Linked DNA regions of Drosophila melanogaster. The protein of the gene in region 2 interacts with the protein of the main gene of each other region in a pairwise test. Each region holds a gene or a part of one and is shown on either strand. Other genes may lie near its edges. The genes, in order: Eglp4, Cpr50Cb, ksh and Argk1.

Evidence for each region.
Region 1: the proteins of Cpr50Cb (region 2) and Eglp4 interact in a two-hybrid assay, tested with the Drosophila melanogaster proteins (one large-scale study listed by BioGRID).
Region 3: the proteins of Cpr50Cb (region 2) and ksh interact in a two-hybrid assay, tested with the Drosophila melanogaster proteins (one large-scale study listed by BioGRID).
Region 4: the proteins of Cpr50Cb (region 2) and Argk1 interact in a two-hybrid assay, tested with the Drosophila melanogaster proteins (one large-scale study listed by BioGRID).

The regions. Positions count from the first base shown.
Region 1 is NT_033778.4:23,607,040-23,610,532, forward strand, and holds Eglp4 (entomoglyceroporin 4), read right to left. Parts: upstream 1,892-3,493; 5' UTR 1,768-1,891; coding exon 1,093-1,767; intron 1,013-1,092; coding exon 794-1,012; 3' UTR 553-793; downstream 1-552.
Region 2 is NT_033778.4:13,793,199-13,797,782, reverse strand, and holds the start of Cpr50Cb (cuticular protein 50Cb), read right to left. Parts: upstream 3,007-4,584; 5' UTR 2,845-3,006; intron 2,679-2,844; 5' UTR 2,608-2,678; coding exon 2,578-2,607; intron 1-2,577.
Region 3 is NC_004354.4:19,493,863-19,496,646, reverse strand, and holds ksh (kish), read left to right. Parts: upstream 1-1,654; 5' UTR 1,655-1,744; coding exon 1,745-1,747; intron 1,748-1,810; coding exon 1,811-1,920; intron 1,921-1,995; coding exon 1,996-2,101; 3' UTR 2,102-2,227; downstream 2,228-2,784. Other genes in the region: CG12204 (uncharacterized protein), read left to right, coding at 2,268-2,784.
Region 4 is NT_037436.4:9,063,005-9,067,850, forward strand, and holds the start of Argk1 (arginine kinase 1), read right to left. Parts: upstream 3,024-4,846; 5' UTR 2,704-3,023; intron 1,514-2,703; 5' UTR 1,504-1,513; coding exon 1,460-1,503; intron 1-1,459.

The DNA.
Region 1 (3,493 bases), 9.8 Mb from region 2:
CGTGATTTCCAGAAATTCCAGAAGAGTGATGCAAATCCAGCATTAGCATATCACCCATAGCACATAGTCCCCTTTAAACCACATAGAACCACATATATCATTTGTGCTTCGTATACGGACTATAGACCCGAATGGAGTACGTAACGTACAATAACTGCATATTGTTGGTATATTTTGGCTTTATTTGGCTGATACGCGCGTCTCATTCGCAGCCTGCTGATAACGTTTTTTAGCCACCATTTGATTGGTCGATTTGGAGGTACTAAGATATTCGAATATCTTATGAACAGATTTTCCAAAGACCGCTTAAGCTGATGGGCTTTTTTCACTTTCGATTCCTGGAAAAAGCTTATTGGTATTTTTAAGCCCGGAAGTTACTTAGAGCTAATCAAAGCAAATACCTCGTTATTGAAGAATGAAAAGCTTTTAGATAATATGGACTCAACATGTTTTAAGATGGCCCAGAAGAGCAGAACTTCAGGTATCAAATAACTACCAATATCTTGTGTAGAATTTCTTAAAACCATAAAAATAATTTACTTGTTTTGTTTTGGTTTTAGATTAAAAATCTCGATGTTCTTTATTTCTGAAGGCAATTAGTGTTTTCACCAAGACGTTTATCGTTTCAAGGGCTTATGTAAGTGTGTGCACTTGGTTCGCCTTTTGAAACGTTCGAGCCACTTTGTGAAGACACTGCTAACATTAGCGTACAACGAATGCATTATTTTAAAATTCGGCATCTTAGATATTAACTAAATTAGTTAGGGCTTTTCCTACAGCAATGTCTTTGGCCTTACGACAGCTGGACGTCCTCCAGTTGCCGCAGCTTCTCATTGGAGGTGATCTCCGCCTCAACCACCTCGCGGCGGAAGACGACCTTGTAGGCGTAGGCGGTGATGGCGGAGGAGCTCAGCGGGGCCAGCCAGTAGATCCAGTTGCTCTCGAAGTGCTTGTTCCACAGGGCGGGGGCGAACGACCTGGCCGGGTTCATGCTGCCGCCGGTGAAGGGACCCTAAAACCAATGGTAGGGAACGAGGTTAATAATCCGTTTCGAGGCAGGTAAGGATTAGCCAACTGTTCGCTTTAACTTACGGCAGCGCAGGCGAGACAGGCGATGGCCAGGCCAAATCGAATGCCCACGGAGTCATGGAACTTGGAGTTGCGCGGATCCCACACTCCGCAGCAGACGATGACCAGGATGGAGGTGATTACGAACTCGATGCCGAGGGCCTGGCCCGTGGTTACGCTGGTGTGGGGCAAGGTCACGCAGAGCCCAGCGCCCACCGTAAGTGTGGGCGAGGGAAGCAGGACCATGAGCAGGCCGTAGCCGATGAAGGCGCCCAGCATCTGGGCGGCGAAGTAGGCAAATGCCATGCGCAGGGTGACCATCTCGTAGATGTAGGCGGCCACGGTCACGGCGGGATTCAGATGGGCACCGGAGACGCAGCCAAAGCACTGGATGGCGATGAGGACGGCGAAGCCGAAGTTCAGCACAATCTGCAGATGGTTGTTGGGAAAGAGGTCCGTCTTCACGCAACCCATGCAGCCCAGGAAGACCAGGATGCCGGTGCCGATGAGCTCGCCGAGGAAGGCGGAGATTTTGTCCAGCGTCGATCCCTTCATTTTGAAGACCTTACAGCAACTGAAATGGTCAGAGAAGCGCTTGAATAATGCCACACTAAAAAGCGAGCTACCCTCTCTGTCGCACGCCATCGTCCATCTCTTTCTCGACTCTAAGTAGACCTGCTTAGGAACTTCATCAATCATATCCTATCTAAGACCATCCTATCGTTTCGCAAAGCCCTCCTCGATTTGCACCTAATCCCCGCGACACACTTCTACAATCTCAACTATTGTGCAACTTTGTAGTTAGTTTGTCAAGCTTCTAGACCTTTGCAACTGCTGTTCTCCTTCGGCTGCCTGGACGATTTCCTGCTGGTTTTCCACCCCTTGCGGATCCATCCCCTGCTGCTCGAGGTTCATTGACTTGGCATCGATTTTCCAAACACCCTTTTTTGGAAGCACAACTTATGCTGCTGATCCGACAAACGATGCCTGCTGCGGGAATGCCATCGATGGCTGGACTGACATGAAGTAGCCGTGTACTAAATATAGTAGACTTGTGATTGCCGTTCGGCTGTCAATTGGGTTTATAGATAAATGGCCGAAAAAATGCGAATCAAATCACGACATGGCCATAAAACAATAACCAATCTTTTTCAACCTTATCGCCTGAGCGCCACTCGAGTCAATTGGAGTTCACTACGTTGCGAATTAATCCGTTTATTGTGATTGGTAAATCCCTCTTTCTGGTAGCCAGAACTCTTGTTTTTTGTTTTTTGAATTTCTTTGGTTTCGAGTGCCAGATAATTACCGAATCTCGTGGCTCATTTTGACACTTGTCCAATTCTTTGAGATCGCACTATATAATCAATCTTTTCCGTAGCTGGTGAAAATTCACAAAGCGGCAGCGCGACTGTCAATGTCAATCTGAGGCGGTGGAGTAGCCATAGGCAAATATTTATATCTGTGTCTATATAATATTGCGTAAATCAAAAGCCCATTTTTAGCCCCTGTGAGAGAGCAGCAACACACACAGATACACACACACACATATGAAGGGGACCGACCACAAGCACACACACACACACACACACACAAAGGCGTGGAAATTAGCGAATCCTACTGGTGAGCATAAAAAAGTCAAGTGTCCAGAATTTATGAGCATCTTAAACGCTCATTCGCTGCTCTCGTTCGCTTTTGCGATTATCTCTGGAGCGATGCTCCTTCTCGCTCCCACTCTTCCTTTACCAGTCACCTGGCTTAAATCATTATAAAATGGTAGAAACAATACGGATGATATTCCATGGAAACAAGGTTAGATATTAACACTTGGTGTGCAACTGACATACTGGTTTTGCTCTATCGAATTCATTCGACTTATTCACAGCATTTTATGAGAATTATAATATTAAAGGTGGTCCTTACATTTGTTTTTTAAGTAAATTATCATTTTCATTTAACTTGTTTCTTACTATTTGTTTGCCATGAGAAAGGCAAATCTGCTAAGCAATGATTGCTAGAATTAGTAGTAACCATAGTTCCTAAAATACGACATTTTCATTGCGTGTCATTCAAACTTAGCACTAAACTGTAATTGATAGCGAAAATCCCCATAATTATTTTCAGTGTAGTTGGTCGGTGGGCGGTGGGCATAACACTGTTATGCTGTGCAAGTGCGTGACGCGCTCGCAATTGAAGCAGGCGGCATATTGCGTATTGATAACAGCAGAGTGGCACACTATCAATTACCACCGTCGCTTCGATTCCTATCAATTGCAATTGCTGCAATTGAGGATGCGTTGCGTGAATCGGGCTACCACGCAATGTGGCAAACAAATCACGGCAAATCTCGGCACGCCTGTCGATCAAATTGCACGCAATTTGCGTAGTTATGTGTCTCAATAACAATTGGATCGTCAATAAATAATAA
Region 2 (4,584 bases):
CAGCTCATCATCATCATCAGCAGCAGCAGCAGCAGCAGCACCATCATCGGACGGACTCAAATATCAAACTGTGAATATTTTAGGTTTGTCATTTGAAATTCAAAAGCGTGCCCGAATGAATGCCAGTCAATGCTACCAATCGTTTCTCGAATTCTTTGCCACCAGTTCTGCAATTTTCGCGTGCGAAAATGAGCAGCTGGAATCATGGGCATTAATATGCAGCAGCAGTTGGGCATTACTAGCTGGTGTGGGTGCTCGACGTATTCGTACTCTGTACCCTATAGTTGGCTAGCTGGGTAGTTGGCCAGTTGAGTCTCCCCCGGGCTGAAATTAACATGTAAAACATGCTCGCCCCGATGTTCTCAAAAGCCCGTGCACTCGACTGGCCAGCGGCCATTTGTCTATCGAGTGTCTGCCTTTTGGTGGGCGGATGTGGCAGTGGGTGGTTGGGCTCCTGGTTTTTATTTTTGGCTTGGTACGCTTCCGTGCCTGCTGTTATTCGCCCAGTTCGGGCCAAAACAAGAATGGTAAAAAAAAAGGAGAAGAAAATAAGGGGAATATAGCGGCATTGGGGAAATGGAGAATCGCTGGTGAAAAGTCAAAAAGTTACAAGCGGCAAATTACACGCGTCTGGCTGGAGTTCTACACTCTGCTCTCAAACTCTATTCCTTTGCTATCGTCTGGTGTACCTTTTGGAAGTTATCTGCTTGGCAGACCAGACGCATCAGAGATGGAGGAGTGCACTGCGAGAAAAACCGCTGAAAAAAAACATGGCTAATAGAAGAACATTTAAGATCTAACACTTTGGCCTCAAACATTGCATATATATTGCGTTTATTTTAACTACTAGTTATGCTCGTCCATTAATCACGATTACGTTAATCGTAAAAATTCATTCGAGTAATTACATGATGTATGACCAATTAAATTTTAATTAGATATTGATTATGTCTTCTTTGAAAATCTTCATACATTTGAATGGCTTTCATTGAGTACCTATTAATATAATTTTATATCTCAATCTTTTTAGACACTTTTGGTTTTTGAAGAAATCTAATTTTTCTCCTGTGTGCTCACGTAACGCGGAATGGGCGGAGGTACATTGGATGGATTCCAGACAGTGTGGTCTGCCGTCTGGACCTGCATTGCATCCAAGTGTCGCACCAACAATTTAACACGCCCCAGTTACAAAAAATAAAAGGACATCAAGGAGCAGCCAGCGAAACTCGCGTCTGTTTTATTTTGTTGCCTGCTTAAGGGCGTCGTCCCAAAACGCGATTCAAAATGCTTTAACAATGGCGAACAAGTGAAAGTATTTCGCAGTTTACAAGTGTGCTCTTGATTGCGGGTTAACTTCTGGACTTCCAGGAAAAGTATTCAATACTGTAATTTCACAATAAAATTGTGAGAATATGGAGAATTTCCAAAGCGAAATGTGTAAATTAATAGGTAACAGAAAGGATTTTGGATCACCTAGAAATTTCTTAGTTGCACAACTCTTTCTGTGTCAATTTACAGCAATTTGAAACAAATTATATAAATATTTTTACGAAACTATATTAGTAAAGTATAAAGTATATTTTTCAACAATTTGATGAAAAAAAACTTGTGTCAATTTAGCACCAGCTAAGAAAAGTTTGCCTACAAAATAAAGTCAAGTTGGAGCCTTATATATTTGCAATTGTTCAAGGGGAGCAAAAAGGTTTGCAATTTTCCTCAGATGATGCCTAAATACGAAAGGGGAAATATATTACCAACATGTGTCCTCCGCCTTACAACCTTTTAGCCTTCTCCGAAACTCAAGTGTTTAGTTAGGAACAATCAGGGAGTATTGCTTAGATTTGGGGCGTATTTTACGTGGCACTTGGCAAACGCAGATGTTGCCAAATATTGAATGCGTATCCATGGAGGAGTACGTACAAGTACATATGTATATATATATATATATATTAACCAGAGCGGAGTGGAGCACTTAAGTGTCTTTGATTATTTGCAATTTGTTCGATTCGGCGGGGTTACTTTGGCCCCTTCGCCACTTGACTTTCGTGTGTGTGTGTGTGTGGACTTGGGTTTTGATTATGATGATGATGATGAGAGGCTCTGTGGCAGACGTGTGGCAAGTTATGCAATCATTTTCGTTGCCATTGACGGCAAGTGTTACCAAAAAAAAACGAAAAAAAAGGAAGGCAAACAGTTTGCCAGGCACTTGAAACAACCAGTTTGATGGGTAGTTGCCTTCAGTTCTCCTAGCAAATCTCATTTAAACTTTCCCCAAAAGCCGCAGCAGAAAAATGACATTGTAGACGAAAAAGGACACTGAGTGACCACGGGTCATTTTTCCCTGCCAGCGATAAACAAATTTGACATATAACAAGCTTAGCTTGCTGGCCTTTCCACACACATACACATACATGCAAACATACATACATATATAGTTTCGCTTTAGCCAAAGGACACGCCTGCGAAATCTCATATGATTTGTTTGGCCAACTGATTTATGTAGGCTTAGCTATGTTTTTTTTTTCCAGGCCCAGAAATACATGTCCTTGTTTTATGTACGTATGTATAAATACTCACAAGCAGGACGAACGACTTGAAGGACATCATTTTGTTAGTTGAGTTTCGATTTTACGTTCACAGACGATGGCAAAAAGTAGTGTATCCACAAACGCCGCTGGCTGAAGTTGAAATTGAATTGAATTAAATTAAATTCATTAGAGTTGTCAATTATTTCATTTATATTGTTTCGAGTTAATCGAGTGTCTTTTGTGTTATTTTTATGATTATTGCACACTATTTAATTTGTAGTCCTTCGCTTGCCACAATAGTTGTATTAACTCTTACTTTCACCGGGCGGGGGAGGGTTTTATTTTTTTATCACCGGTTGGATTTCTCAACTAGGAGGGGGCCTCAGTTAAAGAGGAGGTGGTTTTATCTTTTTAGGTTCGGCTAGATTGATTTCCTAGACAACCGCACGAAGTACACGAACGTTTTGAATTAGGTTAGACAATGGAGATGCGCTTGCTTTTTATAATAAACGCTCAAAGACGCTGGCAGCGACGTCGGCGGCGACGGCGACTGCGGCAGCGGCGGTAGCAGCGGCGTTCGCGTTGCCAACTGCACCTAAAAGTAACGAAAAAGCGGTTTGAACAATTGAGGCAAGTCTAGCGCCTAACTTCTAGATCATCTGCCTCCGTGGAGCTGGAGCCAAGAGCATCCACATCCACGAGTCTCTCAGAATGGCCCAAAGAGAGCGCAGCGTTGCTCTCACCGTTTTGGCCAAGTCTTGGTGTTGAGGTGGTGAAAAATGTTGCAGATCATCGCCGTGGCACGATCATTACGATGATGGGTAACGAGATGATAAATGAATGGCTGGCACGATGATGATGAAGCTCGGGCGGATGTATAACAAGATGAGTTCGAGTGGAGAGCCTGCAACGCCCCGAATGACTTCATTAAATACTCGGCCAAATTTGATATTTAAGCCAAGCTTTTATGAAGTCTGGGCCCTCGGGCGATGCAGTTGCCATCGAGACGATACGAAAATGTCACTGGGAATGTCAGATGATAGGTTTCGTTTTAGCCTCCAAAGATACAGTCGCCCTTTTTCGAAATATCTATATATTTATTTTTGTTTGTTTTTTCTTCTTTTTTTTTTTTTTGCCATTTGGCCTTTGGGAAAGCATCAGAACATAGAATAAGTTTGGTGAGAAGTACGTGATGCGGTTGCCCGGGGAAAATTGCACAAGCTGCACAAACGTGTTCATGTGGCGTCCCAATTTCCCGCAGCACCTCTGCCAAAATGCAATCTATGACGTGAGGCTCATGCCAAAGATCCGTAGCCGAGGCCCCGAAACTCATCCATTGGCCATTGCACAAGGCTGGCAGACGTGTCGAGTGCCTTTGGGCCAACTTCCTCCTTCCAACCAACATCAACCGCATGGCTCCTTTTCTTCCGTCAGGCCTCAAATCCCATCCCATAACCAATTAACCTTGAATGTATCACAGCGCCTCTGTACGAGCCGAGATTAAATAACAATTAAAAGCAATCCGATGACTGATTTCAGAGTTTCTTCACATTTTTATTGACCACTTGCGAGGTGGCGATGTGTGCGTGCGTGCGATATTAAAATTAGATATTGAAATTATTATGGGGAGCAATCAATCGAAAATAGCTACACTTACAATCAACCCATCTTATAATCAGTGATGCGAAAATCTTGTACCAAAATCGAAATGTTATTACCAATTACACTGGGCTATGACTAAAACTATTATTAATATAATATTATATATTTGTAATATTAGATATGGTATTAGTTTTCAATAGCTGCAATCTTAAAGATACTCTAATATCTCAATATCTTATTTTTATAAGCAATTTTATTAGATTTTATTAGTTTGGTACCCATTTTCCAAGGTAACATTTCGTGTACCTAAGATGTTACCTCTATCAGCGCCGCTTACACCTGCTGGCAATCTTCAATGGACCGCTGTGAAAAGTAATTGAACAACTTTTGGTTACTTTTAACTTTAGATTTCCGTGACACTTGAGCTGCGGATACACATGTGCGCGCGTGTGTG
Region 3 (2,784 bases), on a different chromosome or scaffold from region 2:
TTTTTTGCATTGCATTGGTGTGTTATCGGTGTCGGTGGCCGCTCTGCGCATGTGCGTAGTGTTTTGGTGTTCGCGGGTGTAGGTCCATGGGTGAATGTGTCATGAAAGCACTGGAAGAGGATATAATAATGCAACTCACCTCCGGTTCGCAGCACTTTAAACCGTAGCACTTTAAAATTGGGGGTGGGGTTAAAAGAGCATATACTGTTTGTATTTTACACTTTTCACTCACGATTTACCGCCCCTCGAGTGGGGCACTCCGATAACTTTGGCGCGGATCTATGCGAGTGGCCGTCACTGTGCTGTTAGCAGCTAACAGTGCTGTAATCGCCGACGTCAACGATACACGCAAGTGCGTGTGTTTGGCGCGCGTGCGGGTGTGTGTGTGTACTTACATAAATACACATGCAAGGAACCGATTCGCGGATCATAGCTTAGCTTAATATTGCAGTCGGGAACTTACCGCTTTGCCAGTGCAGCGACTGGAAGTCATCGCTGCTGCTGCTGCCACAGAATGTTATTGTTTTTCTTGTTGCAGTTCCTGTTTGCCTCTCTGTTGCTCCGGCTGCTGTCTCGCTCGTGTTCCCTCTCTCTTACTCACTCGCACTTAACAACAAAACCCAGCGCGCTCGTCACACACACACTGTATTACTGATTTAAATACACACGCACACACACCGACAGGGGGGGCAATGAGAAAACGTATCCGATTATTATATATATGTACATGTATATCTAAATATACTTTTGATTTTTATGAGCGCGCTCAGTTACAATTGCATTGGCAGCACCATCGTATTCACAGACGTACACGCACACACATTGGGGATGCACTCGGTCGGGATTCTCCGCTCCTGCTCCCCTCCTTCATCCCCTCGCGATACCAAGTGGAAAACGAAAACGGGCCACAAAAATGAAGAAAAGAGCCAAGGAAAACGCAAAAGCACGGGCGGACTTAAAGCCAAATCGAACGATTTACTGACGCTCGCCGAGAATTGGCCAAAGCTCACCAATCGGAACAGCAAGACACTGATTTGCCAAGCGGGCGATCGAAATTGATCGGATTATATGTAACAACAAACACAAAAAAAATACCCGCAGCGAATTAGAAGTTGCAGACAAATTGCTAGAGGTGGCCCACTGCGTCGATGTTTATGCGATACTATGTGCGATAAGTGTGGACCCATCGATTGCTGTTCCGCGCCAGTCGATTGAATTCACTTGACCTAATAGCCCGATTCCATTGGCACATATTTCAATTGGGGGAAGCTCCACTGCCAACGTTAATTGAAACAAAGTCTTATCTTATTTCATTTACTTGACCCACGGTTGGATTGCAATACAAGTTCCGATACTATCGAAATTAAGCTTACGTTTTTTTGTATACGATGTCTTTTGTAAACTCTTGCACTTTTCAATACTTCCTATGGCGTTTTTATGCTCCCTGTGGGAACTTGGCTAAGAGCTTGTTACTTTCTATTGTAAAATATTTATCCAATGTCCATCCCAGATAATGGAAGTAGGTCGCCAAAATATGTATTTAATATAAATATATTCTTATATTAACTCCTAAACATTGTAACATTCCTTATCATTCTAACAGTTGATTAACCACCTATCGAATCAGTCGAAACGTGAGATTCCAGTTTTGGAACCAGTTCGCCTGCGCCGAGCGGCTGGCACGTCACTAGTTTACCGCTTGTTGTTATTCTATCGCCAAGCACGGATTTCGATTTGCTAAATCATGGTTTGAAACGCTCACCTAACCGATACTCCTCCGTCGTACACTTAGCACCGTTTCCCTCCACAGAGCGCCCTGTTCAACTTCCACAGCCTGCTGTCGGTCATCCTGCTGCTGATCTGCACCTGTGCCTACCTGCGCTCGCTCTTCCCCAGCTTGATAGACCGCAACAAGACCGGGTAGGTGCCCGTTCCCGCCCTGACCAGTCCACTGATTGTTACCACACTCAACACTCGTCTGCTGTCTGTTTGCAGATTCATGGGCACCTTCTGGAAGCTGGCAAGGATTGGGGAGCGCAAGTCGCCGTGGGTAGGAGCCGCCTGCCTGATCATGGCCTTCACCGTTCTCTTTTGGAGCTGAGCTCCTGCATCCCGCATCCCCTCCAGGAGCCGAATGGCACCATAGATTAGATATTCCAAACTTTCTAGGACTGTAAATACACGCTGCGTTCTGCAGCACTGGCCGCACATTTCGGGCTTTCCCAACACTTGCTGTTCTGTTCTGTTCTGTTTCGCGCTGGCTAAAAATGTCTGGCGAAGATGTGGACGAGAAGCGAGAACAGCTGCGTCTTTTTGTGACAGCCAGCAGGAGGCGTCTCCACGTCATCCTGCAGCGCTTCGGTTGGAGCGAGCGCGGGGTGATGGGGGCGGGTAGCCACAGACCACAGGACAAAAACGGCGCAACTAAATCGGAGGTGTTAGAGCCATTGCCATTGCCGGCGTCATGCAGCAACAATCCCGACTTTAGCATCCAGCTCGATGACTCGACTATTCAGGGCATTGTGGGCACCGAAAGAGCACGACGCCTCCTTCCTGCTGCCTCCTTTGATGATCTGCAGGCAGGACTCGACGCGAGTCAGCGGCTGCTCATCTACGAGCACGTTCTAAAGCACACCAAGAAGCACCCGCAGTTCCAGGACAACACCGCCTTCGCCGAGGTGGTGGGCGAAACCCGGCGTCAGCAAAAGAATCATCGGCGCCACCGCAAGAGCAAGCCCACGCTCAACGAGGAGCTGCACCAGCTAGTCAGCCTGCAGATGCAGG
Region 4 (4,846 bases), on a different chromosome or scaffold from region 2:
CAGCCCTTGTAAATCATTGGTGTATCCCTATACTCCATAACATTTCGATAAATATTTGAAAACAAATATAGTCGCAAATAACGATTTTTCAATATGCAGTAATTGCAGTAAATCATATGCATTTTAATATAATTAAAAGTAAATGAAGCCTTTTAGTAGTTCGTAGAGTCACACTGGAAGGATCTAAGGCAGCCCTGGTTTTTGAAATTGATTTAAATTTGAAAAGTATGAAAATACTGCACTTTCTAGCTTTTGTTATAGAGTTAATCATAGTTCTTTTATAATGCCCTATAGATAAGAAAACAAAATAGAGCCAGTTATTTATTGTACTTTGCCAAAAGGCGTTAGCCTATTGGTGGGCGTGTTGCTTAGACGCAAATGTTTCAGTGCTTTAATGCCCACAAATGGCAGTAATTTAGAACTGTAACCACAATTTCTTATTTCCCACCCATTTCCCCAGTTACGAAATTACTTTCTCCACTCCCCCATTTCTTTGGGCCGGCGTCGTCATTTCTCTTGTCACGTAGGCCAAAACGGCAATAGCTGACGAAAAACTCGTGCGGCAAATTGATAAGCAAACAAACGAGCTCCACCCGGCATAAAATCGGCAAATCGGCAAAATACCGGCCCCAAATGCCGGCTGTATGGATGAGAACGAAAAAAACTAATACCGCTCCAAACTTCAATTATCACTTTTGTTATTACGCTAATTGCCGGCAGATAACAACTGGACGCTTTTTTCTTTATTTTTTTGCCAAAAAAATGCGAATTTTGTTTTGCACATGTGCAAATCAGAGAATGTTTGAATGTGTGCGATCAGCCGATTGCACTTATCACGAATGAGAGTTAGAGCCACAAAAGCCGGTTGTTATGGGCTGGGGTATTCGACGAGATCGGGGGAGTGGGAGATGGGAAAACGGACAGATAGTTCATCATGTGACACCGCTCGGTGACTAACTTTCTTGCCAAATGCAGGAAAATTATACACACAGTCGCATTAGCACCTTCGAACCATAACGATCACGGAAACGTAGAGCTAAATTGGTCTAATTCAACAACTGATAGCGATAAGATTATCGGGTTTGCAATGATTGCGTCCCAAAAGTGCGACTACTGTTATCGCCAAGATTTATGAAATGCAAGAAAGTAGCTTTGCTTGGTGAAGGTGTTGTTATTAGCATTGCATAACCATTAAAAGCCAGTAAATTTATTTGTATTACCCAATCCCCCAAAGCTCGAATCACATACCAGAAACTTTTCATTTAAAACGTACTTAGACCTTTTTCTGAATTGCAGAATATTTTTAAGCTTAACTCCAAAAAGGATCTCATTACGCCCCCAAACTACAATTCACCATTAACACTACCCAGCCGAAAAGTAGGCAACACAAAACGTTCATCCGCCCTGTGGGGGGCACAGCAGTGCTTGCCAAACTGTGGAAAACCCCTTTTGCACTTACCGTATTTCATCGACAGCAAAAGTTAAATACCACAAAGCGAACATTTTGTATTAGCTGAAATTGAGAGAAGATCGAATGAGTAAATAGTTAAGTGATTTTCAAAGCAATTTGACCGCTAATGTATACGAATTAATTGGACTATAAATGGCAATTTCCACACCACATGCACTTGTTGGACTGGCACTGAATCTGATTCACCCAGCGACCTCGAAAAGCGCAACAAATGACGTCGCCGTCAAGCAATGCAAAAAAAAAAAACTCAATCGAGCGAGGCGCTCATCAGAAAAGTAAGTTCCAGAGAGCCAGAGCTCAATTAAGACCCAAGGCACACAGATAAAAAAACAGTTGAACAGGCGAAAAGACAGCAGTGAATATATGCCGGCATTATTCAAGGTTTATTTATAAACAAAAGCGCGCATGGGTTTGCAAATGCAAAATGCAGAATGCCAAATTCGCAGAACGCTGAGCGCCGAGGCACGTGAAGTCGAGACTTTTGGGCAAACGGCCAGAGATGGGAAACAGTACACAGAAAAAACCTCATAAATGGGAAAATGAAAATGTTTTGTCATAAATTTGATTTCTGAATTTCTGAATTTCTTATTTAAACTCCTCCCCAATTGAAGCCTACTAACGCCAACATTATTAAAGTTTGCCTCAATTAAAAAGTTATAAATGAAAGTTTCTTTATATGAAATATTTGAGGCACCTGCCTAGTATTTGGTTTGCAAAGTTTATTTTTAAGATATGTCATAACATTTAATATGTATTCTCACAAGCAAACAAATTGCAAATTTTCCTCTGTGCACTGCAGATCAATTCGGAAAAAGGGGAACTTTTTGTGCACCGGATGGCGCCCAATGGTCGAAAGGGTTCTAAATTTAGATAGTGCTGCCATCGATCAATTAAATATGATTATTTTGCGCACTGTTTGCAGTCCCCTGAGCTTTGTTTATCCCTCGGATTTGAGCAAAGGCAAGCAAAATTCACCATGAAGCTCCGTCTGCGTTTGTTTTCTTTTGCACACGCGGCGTATGAGCAATCTGCGATGGTAATAGCACACTCAGACTCTGACAGTTACGTCACATCGCACGGCAAACGTATGAGTGGGTGGCTGGGGCGTGGAAAATGGGTGGGTGGTGGTGCCTAAGAACACTCATTCCCATAACACTCATTCACTGTTGCAGCATGCCACACATAACAAACAACTGGGGACTTGCAGCATGACCCCTTCTGCGTGCACTCACCTTTTGTGCCTGTGTTGGATAATAAAACGACTAGAAAAAGTTGCAAGTGCTTTTCCGGAGGGTTTTCCGTTCGATTTTTTCGTATATCAAAAGGTTCGTTTCGTTTAAATGCTTCACAGCTGGTCAAATATCGAGGACTGGTCTCGATTGTGTGTTGTTTGATTTTGAGTAAAGGTACAAAATTAATTTTCTCTCGACTGGCACTCTTCTGCTGTTGAATGCTTCTTTCAAGTTTTTTTCGACTGTCGTGCTCCGTGCGAAAATCGACTGCTCTACTGGCGGCAAAAGCGACGAGACTACGGCTACGACGGCATCCAACTGAGAGAGCCCCAAAGAGAATGGGGAGCACGGAGAGCGCCGACGCCAATGTTTCCTAGCTGTGGCTGCACTTGCGACGAAGCTTTTCTCACGAGATTCGTTTCCCAACGAACCCACGGGTTCTGTGCCAGGTACACCCGAAAAAAACTTAGAAGACTTTAATCAGATTCCAACAGAGAGGGTTCAGAGTTAACTACTATAAAGGATATACATATTTATTAGAGGACACTAGCAAATAATTAAATGTAGATATTTCAATGTAGTAATAACTAATAGTAAATCTATGAATTTTCTGTAACTAATTAATTATTTTTCTCTGTGCACGATTTCAATATTTATTTCCGTGTACTCTCCGATTCGGAATGTTACTCATAGGCTTACGCTATGCCACCGCTATGTGTCAATAATCGCGTTGAACCTGGTCAAAAGGCTGCCTAATCAATAAAAGAAAAGAATTTTCGGAAACAGTTTTTGGGCACTGGACGAGTCACTTTTCCAATTGGCACTATCAGTTCAATGTTTACTATTTATTTTGCTTACTGCAGCGTTTGGCCCAGGCCAAAACTATCAAATTTGGTCGAAAAAGCGCTGCTGACGCCTTTCGCCGGTTGTCTGTCGTGGGCAAATAAATCCAGATAATAAACTCGAGCGTACTGTTCAGTCATTCATTCAACAGCGCTATCTATTTTGCAAAGCCCACTTAATTGGCCTGGGTGATGATGATTGGGGTCTTATCGCTCGCCGAAGACTCTGCAGTTTGAGAGCCACTGCAACGGCAAAGATGCAATGGCAAGCGCACAGAGTCCGTGAATCCCGTGGACCAGGTTGCATAATGATACGTACAGCTGCTTACATAACCGCGGCAGCGAGAAAGGCGACCAGAAACAAGGTCAAAAGTTCAAGGACTGAGAAAAGCTCGAAAACATCCTGGAGCGCTTGCGTTGCTCAGCGGAAGTTCCTGCGAGTGTGGGTGTTCTGTTTTTGTTGACAAAAAGTTTTTATTATCACGAATTATGTACTTTTAATCGGCTACCTTCGGCCTACAGCACTAAATATTGTATAACACAACCCATGAAGTATGCAACGAAAATAAAGATTAAAGCACTTGAAAAGGATAACTTTCGAGCCCCTTCCGTAAATAATTAGGAGCACAATTTTGATTTAAGTTTCAAACATTTTTTATTGGTTTTTCAATTGAATGCATTTTGTTTGCTACGCTTTAATTGGTTTATATATCTTGGTTGTCTTACATTGTAATGATATTGCATATGCCACACAAACTGCTGTTGGCCTCGGTTGATTAAGCTTTAAAATCTTGCACAAAACATAATCATTGCAAATCAAATGGAAATTGACTTTGAATAAAACGCTTGCTTTCATATATTTTAAGCTATGTGCATTTTGTATGTGTATTATTTTACTACATATCGATATATAATTTAACATTTGAATCATTCTCATCTTCACTTTTCATCCTGACTGGAATATCAATCTAATTCCGCACGCTGTTGATTCACTCAAACACTTCGGTTCAAAACTTTGGTTCCCCCGCGTTCGTCCTTCGTTAACCCGCTAAGCTAGCTACTACTGGATCTGATCCGATCTCCTATAGTTCATTTTGAATTCTTCTCGTTGGCCATTTCATTTCAGATGGTCCGGTCGGTACTTATACTGGTTCTTAGTTCCGGAAAGGTTGTTAACATACTTTTGTTGGTCGCACACGTTTCGAATTGGCTTGTCTGTTGTTTTTGTAGTTTAATGTGTTGGTGTTATCTTTGTGTGTTGTCGGTTGTCGTTTGCCCTTTTTGTTGGATCTTGTTGTATC